Cricetulus griseus: one gene and its partner. The protein of the gene in region 1 interacts with the protein of each later gene in a pairwise test. Links are inferred from orthologs where the notes say so. Each region holds a gene or a part of one and is shown on either strand. Other genes may lie near its edges.

Region 1 (3,649 bases):
TCCTCCACTTCATCTGCTACGCATGAAAGAGCAGGCAGCTGGGCTCAGGATCCATAATTTGAGACATCCGGAGACTAAAGGCGTTGGCCAAATTTAAATGGAAGGATGAGCTTGTTGAGTGTCTTTTCAAATTATGGGGGAAAGAAGAAAGAATTCTTTAGTCCTCTCTGATCCACTTGGGCCTCACAGGGAGTCTGCTTGTCGGCTGGCATCAAAAGGCTCTGCCTCTGGACACTTGAAATAGGACTATTGCATAAATGCCCCAGACCCCCACAAGCCACAGGAAGGAGCAGTGGCTGGGGAGTCCCCAGACAGAAGTCCATGGAACTTGAGGAATGCAGCCTTGCTGGAATGGTCACTGTGAGTCTGGGCAAGACACGAGCAGCTGGATTATAACCATCTCTTGGGAAATTGCTACATGACAGGATGAGGGCTAGGGATATGAGACAGGGCTGTGGCCTTACCAGGCACTCAGGACAGGGCTACCTTCCTAGCTAAGCTCAGTGCCCTCAGCAGTAGGAACTGAATGGCATCTGGGCTCTCCATGACTTTTCTTAGTCAGCTGGCACGCAGAAAGTGCACTAAGAGTGGTACTCACTGTCTGAGTCCACTGGGACTTTACACATTAGATCCAAATGACCTTTTGCTCTGAGATAACCTGTAAGCCACCAGAGGTCTGAACTACCAATAACATGACAATGGTCAATAGTCTCAAAATCCAGGGACACAGGCACAGGAGTCTGCTGTGCCCTGTCTACAGACAGGAAAACCAAGGCTCAGGGAAGCAGGTAATTAACCCAGGGCCATAGCTGGACTTTGGGTCTCTTAAATCACTGATCCCCATCCTCTATCTCTGCCCCCTTCACACAAAGCCATACAACCTGAATTCACCTAGGCAATGTCATCCTTAGCACTGAGCTCAGGACCAGATCATGAGTAAGCAAGCCCGCAAGCCCGAGTCATTGGAGAGTCGTGGGAATACTGTCCCTGGGGAGGGGTGCACATGGGAACACTCACATCTCACACACTCAGCATCGACCAGGATGTAAGGTTAGAAACACTGTCAGTGCCGACACACTGGACCACTGGTGACCTTCCACACAGTGACAGTTGCAGAGAAAGGTACCCTGCTGGCTCATCAGCAGGGAACCTGCCATCACCCTCTATTCTGGTGCCACAAGGGCATGTGGTATACCTCAGTCTTTTGACACATATCATCAAAGGGCAGGAGCTATGACACTGCCCCTCATCACCAGCAACACCGAGTGATGCTTACACTTAAAAAATGGGAACATTTATTGTTTCTTTCTTAGAGCTGCCTTGCCAGCAGGCACAGCCTGTCAAGAACACAGCACCACCCAACACCATGGCAGCCCCTCACACTCAGGACCCTGGAGCTGGTTGGGGAAAAGGAGCTACCCTGATTCCAGGGAGGGTTCTCCAAGTACCCTCCCCAAGGCAAGGGTCTGACTCAGCAACTCAATAAGAGCTGGGAACTTTAAGTCACAGTGGTGTGCTTTTCCTGGGCCTACTGAGACCTGCTCTCACAAGCCCAGCCACTGGGGGCTCCTAGCAATGAAAAGATGCTTGTGGCTTGGCTGAGATTCAGGATGCCAGAGCCCATGAGACCAGCCAGACTAAGGACAGCTCACCACTAAACTGCCTGGCCACTGGGTGGGGTAGGGGGACTACTGGGGCTGCAGTGTCAGGAAGGGACAGCGAGATGCTTCTGGAGGATTCCATTTAACCCATGGAATCAAAAGACTTCAAAACATGTCTTCCCGGAAGCAGTGTGGCAGTTAGCAGGGCATGGAGGCCCACGCCAGCGCTGTGTGGAAAGGCACCAGATGGTTTGTTATGAAACACATTTTGGTCAGAAAATAGCTGGGGCTTTTTGGTTCCTGGGAGGACAACAAAGCTAGAGAGAAAGGAGACGTGGGCTGTGAGAAGTTGGCGGTACAAACAGCAGCTTTGGTATCAGATCTGGGTTCTATTCTCATCTCCATCCCCGACATGTGTTGCCTCAGTTTCCTTACCTGTAAAATGAATGAAAAGTATCCCGCCACAGCCTAGTGCTAGGCTTTGGTATCATTCCAGGAATTATGGAGAGGCAGAAGGTGGGGGCACACAGGACACACAGACAAAACAGAACAGAGGTGATCCCTGCGGTTGTGGTAAGACTCTGGGAGTCTGGGCAGCTGGTACACTAGGTCCTAGCACTATACAGATCACCTCAGGGACTGTGGCCCTCCTGTGGAGGGAGGGCAGGAGGCAAGCTCTCCCACAGCACCATCAAGGACCTCAAACCATGTCCATTATGGGAGATAAAGTGCAGAGCTATGTGTCTTTGGTCAGGTGCTGCCTCTCGGAGGGCCTTAGCTACCAGGCCCCAAAGAAGCAGAATTTGAGGATCCCAGCTTCCCTGAAGGCCATGTCCCCTCCAGTGCACAAATAATAGGCTCTCACTGCTTGAGGAGTAAGGATGCCCCAGAGAGAAGGAACACGGAATGCTTTGGTCACTGTCTTGACAGCCACAGGAGGGGGCACTGGCTCCAGGAAAGAGACCAGGAGGCCAGGCCCTGCCCTGCCCTGCCCTGCCCTGCCCTGCATACATCATGAGCGCCTGATGCAAACCTGGTTTCCAAGCATAACCCAGGAGTCACTGACTGGACACTGCAGGCTCTTCTTGCCCTCCCTCCCTGCCTGACTGTGCAGCTCTTGTCCGCAGGCTTTGCCATCAGCTCCTTGTGATGGCTGCTCTGCTGTAGGTGGCTTTTGGTCCATCACATGTCAAGGCCAGTTGTGTCCTGCCAGTCAGTCCTAGGCCCTCAGAAGCTGAAGAGGTCATCTCGATCGATGCCACTGCCGTCAGGCTTGTCCCAGTCGGTGGGCGATAAGCACTGCGCATAATGGATGTCCTGTGTGGACAGCCCAGTGTCCAGGACTTGAGGGTTCGTCCGTGACTGTGCCAGCCTGGAAGGCAAAGCTGTGTAAGCCAAGCAACAGGAGAAGGGCTAGCAGGGCTAAATGAACGGGCATAGCCTGGCCAGCATGGGGACAGAGGGAGGGGCCATGAGTGGGGAAATGGCCAGACTCAAAAGCTCAGCAGGGAAGCTAGAGCCCACCCCCTGACAGCAGGATGCCCAAGAAGGTCAGAGCCCTGGGGCCGGCCATGAGCCCTACTCTAACAGAGGCCAGTTGTAGGTAGGAAGTGTTCAGCCAGGAGAAGACACTTGGCATAACCAGGGTGAGCATGAGCTTCCCAATAGTCACACAAGGAGACTAATGTCCAGAAGAACCTGGAGAGGTCAGTACAGCGCAGCCCTGTCCTGGGGGACGGGGAGGAGGACAGGAGTCCTAGGGTGTGAACACCTGGAGGGAGGCCTCTGACGGCACTGAGCCCATGAAGAGTCCCCAGGGCTGTGAGCTGATGGATACAAGGGTGTTCATGGTTAGGTCAGCGGACACAGTGCCAGTCTGGGCCAGGGACTACACTACACAGGGATTTGTTTGAGACTGTTAGTAAGGACCCATGACAACTGAATATTCTGGAAAAGAGGATAAAACTGTTTTCAAATATGGGGCCGGACGTTGGTCCTCATGCCGGCGTTGGTGGCGCATGCCTTTAATCCCAGCACTCAGGAGGCAG
Region 2 (3,649 bases), on another chromosome or scaffold:
TTGGGGAGCACCAATCCCCTTTCTCTCTCTTCCTAATTTCCTCATCCTGGCCTTGTAGAGCAAAACCTGTTCTAAGCTACTTGGCCAGAGGGAGGCCTGATTTCCTATGGTTATCCGTCGAGTCCCACTCAGGACAGTGTTGGCCACCACATAGTGTTTAACCCGTGGTTCTATTGCAGCGATCTCTGCTCTGGTCAGGCAGCTTCCTTGGCCAAGAGCTTTCAACTGCCCTGGGAGTGAGTCCCAAATGTCGATTAGGACAGATTTTATCCTTGCAATATATCCTTTTCTGAGTGGATTCTGCAGTACTCTTTGCTCTGGAATGGATGTGCTCAGACAATGCAAAAATTCAGACAAGGTTCCATTCAGATGCCATCATTTGTCAGAACCTCCCTATGCCTGTCCCTGTAGCTAGTTCTCCAACCCTAAATACCTCTCCCTCCTCTGCCTCCATACTCTACACAGCCCTCCTTTCACCTTCACCAGAGACCCCGGAGACACTAATGTGCTTGTCTAGCCTTTGCCTTACCATGGGATTCGTTTTATCTTAGCATTTAGTTCACATTCAGGAAAGAAACACAAGTTGCTTGTTCATCTCTGTACCACAACACAGGGCCCGGTCCCTAAGTGGAGCTCTCCCTACATACACCTTTGTTCCCAGGCACCAGACACTCACTCTTCTTGCCATCAGCATCGTGATGCATCTTCCGAGCCAGGATGCCCTGCTTATAGGTGGGCACTGTGGGGTCCTGAGCCATCTGGAGGAAGGGGCTGCTTATCTTGCCAGCTGAAGGAGAGGGCTGGTCCTTCTCAGGTCTGGCTGCATCCTCTTCATCTCTGGATGGCAGAGAACCAGGATGGGAATGCTGGTGGGACAAGTACCCTCTGCCTCTTGGGGACTCAACACCTTCTCTTACTGGGGAGGAATATAATAGGAACCCCCTCAAAGAAAATCTCAGCTGGGTGTTGGTGGTGCACGTCTTTAAGCCCAGCACTCAGGAGGCAGAGGCAGGCAGATCTCTGTGAGTTCGAGGCCAGCCTGCTCTCTAGAGCGAGTGCCAGGATAGGCTCCAAAGCTACACAGAGAAACCCTGTCTCGAAAAACAAAAAACAGAAGAAGACGAAGAAGAAGAAGACGAAGAAGAAGAAGAAGAAGAAGAAGAAGAAGAAGAAGAAGAAGAAGAAGAAGAAGAAGAAGAAGAAGGAGAAGAAGGAGAAGAAGAAGAAGAAGACGATGAAGACGATGAAGAAGACGAAGAAGACGAAGAAAATCTCATTAAAAGCTGGAAACCCCTGGAAACACTGCTGTACCTTCACCAGCTCTGGCTTCTCCAGTATTTCCCAAGTTCCTCTGTACCCCACCTGGCCTAGTCTTCTGCCTCTGGCATTACCCCACTCAGGAGAACTGTGTAGGCCCCCGAACTTCTCCAGTTCTCAGGTGGGCAACAGTGGGGAGACAGGCTCAGAGGCAGGGATGCAGCGCAAGAAGCCCAGGGAAAGAGGAGTGCTCACTTACACAGCCCACTCAAGTTTCTCACTTCGGATGGACCAGTAGAGGGCCTGGAATAGAAGCATACAGATGAATGGAGGGTCTGTGGTACCTACGTTCATTTTGTTGGCAGACATCTATGGGTATAGGTAACACCTTGTCCCTCTACTCCCATCATAGTTGCCCTTCTCCTGAGCAGGCAAGCATTCATGACCCATTTATCCATCTGTCCACCCTTCCATTCCTGTGCTGGATACTGGAGACATAAAGATATCAAAGTAGCCAAGGCTCTGCCCTGCACTTAGTAAATTCTAAACTAGTCTTTTGAGAGAGAATATGACTCACTCACACACTATCCTGTCCAGGGGTATCTGATAGAGAAGGAACTTGACTGAACAACACTCACACAATGCATAATTGGTAGATGAATGAATGATGCTGGGTTAGAACTTGGAAGTAATTCATAGGCTTGCTTTTACAGTCCTTGATGTTCCTGGCAAGGTACTTAGTACACAGAAAATGTTCAATAAATGACCACTAAGTAGATGAAAAAGCCAGCGGTCCAATTGTGTATGAAGTGTGTGTGAGCCAGGCATAGTGCATGACACTTGACAGCTTTGATCTTGGTAATAACATTGTGAGATGATCATTTCTCCCAGAAGCAGCTTGAGTTGACCAAGGGGCAGAACTCAAGACATAATTCAAACTAAGATCACCCAGCTCCCAAACCTGAGACCAGGATTTGCCTTACGTGGAACTTTGTGTCTCATAAATTCGTTCAGTACTCCTGCACTTGCAGACTTCAAAGGGGTAACAATCCCCTGAGAAGGTAACAGAACATTTTCAGATGCATAAAGTATGATTCTGTACGTCCAGGGATGTCAATTTGCACAGCTGTCAAATCCCAAGACATCACCAGCACTCCCAGACAGGGACACACAGGCAACCCTTGTCCTCATAAGGACCTCTCCTCCAAGCCATGTCTGAGCTCTACTTTCCTCTTGGAACTAGAGTTCCAGGCTGCAGACCAAGAAGCAGGGAGGGTCCTGGCTTTGGAAGGCGCCTTACCTTCAGCAGCTCCTTGGGGAAGTTCCTGCCATCCTGCAGCCCATTCAGGTTGGTTATGAATTCCTGGCAGCTCATGCTCTTTCCAATGTTCTGTGGCCATGGAGAAGCGAGACAGTTTGAACATCCCACCCTGATGGAATATACCCCTAGGTGGTCACTGGGGAACTCCAAGGCCCTGCCCTGCCATATTCCCAGCCTTTGGTCCATTCTTCCCCTCCTCACCATGCCACAGACCCCCACATCAGCTCTCTAGATGCTCTCCCCTCCTTACCTGTCCATGCAGGTCTGTGTTAAGAAGCATGATGGCACAAGTCAAAGTGTGTATAGAATCTGTCCCCAAGAGAGGCCAAGCACAAGGTTCATTGGAATCTGACTTTTGTGGCTTCTGCCCACACTAAGGGTGACTCCTCCCATTTCTCTATAGCCCCAACACACTCCAGCAGCTGCTGACCAATGAACCCCAAGTAAATAGGGTTATTTTTATGCCACCCCAAAGTCCTTCTGCCCCACCCCTGGGCCCACCCTCCATACCTACTGAGGGGAAGGCCCCAGGATTGCAGTAATGGAAGCGTTTGGAAAACTGGTAGAGAATTCGTTCCCGTTCCTGAGTCTCTCCACTGAGCACCAGGGCCTGGAGAAACCCCCTGCCCAAAAAAGTCAGGATTAAGCAGAGCCACATCCCCGGGAGCTTGGGACCACTGCCCTGCAGCTGTCCCCAACCACCCCACACACCCAACTCCTGCTTCCTCTGAGGGCCAGAAGGCCTTACCGGAGGGCTCGGTCCAGGCTCTGGCCTTCGAAATGGAAGAAGGACAAGTATGCCTCAGCCACAGCCCTGCTGAAGTCATTGCTGTAGAGGGCAATGGAGATAAAGTTGATTCTGGGGATCAGGCTGAGCTGTAGGCACAGAAAGAACCCAGGGCGGCAAGAGCCAAATAAAAGAAAATATAACCATGCTAGGTGCCAGGTCCCAAGGGAGCCTGCTCTTGCTACTTTGGTCAATGTCACCTGTGATAGGCCATGTGGAATCGGGGACAGGCAAAGGGAGAAGTCAGGAATTGCAAGTGAGGCTGAGAAGAAGCAGAGCTGGCC

Evidence for each region.
Region 2: the proteins of Ldlrap1 (region 1) and Psd4 interact in binary tests that used the Homo sapiens proteins (3 or more experiments, as listed by UniProt). The two-hybrid records come from large-scale screens. The link is inferred for Cricetulus griseus from reciprocal best matches to the Homo sapiens genes LDLRAP1 and PSD4.

Annotation. Positions count from the first base shown.
Region 1 is NC_048595.1:18,544,410-18,548,058, reverse strand, and holds part of Ldlrap1 (low density lipoprotein receptor adapter protein 1), read right to left. Parts: intron 2,974-3,649; coding exon 2,829-2,973; 3' UTR 1-2,828. UniProt on the Homo sapiens protein: Adapter protein (clathrin-associated sorting protein (CLASP)) required for efficient endocytosis of the LDL receptor (LDLR) in polarized cells such as hepatocytes and lymphocytes, but not in non-polarized cells (fibroblasts).
Region 2 is NC_048599.1:135,738,293-135,741,941, reverse strand, and holds part of Psd4 (PH and SEC7 domain-containing protein 4), read right to left. Parts: intron 3,408-3,649; coding exon 3,327-3,407; intron 3,202-3,326; coding exon 3,089-3,201; intron 2,888-3,088; coding exon 2,829-2,887; intron 2,648-2,828; coding exon 2,558-2,647; intron 1,561-2,557; coding exon 1,517-1,560; intron 838-1,516; coding exon 677-837; intron 1-676. UniProt on the Homo sapiens protein: Guanine nucleotide exchange factor for ARF6 and ARL14/ARF7. Through ARL14 activation, controls the movement of MHC class II-containing vesicles along the actin cytoskeleton in dendritic cells. Involved in membrane recycling.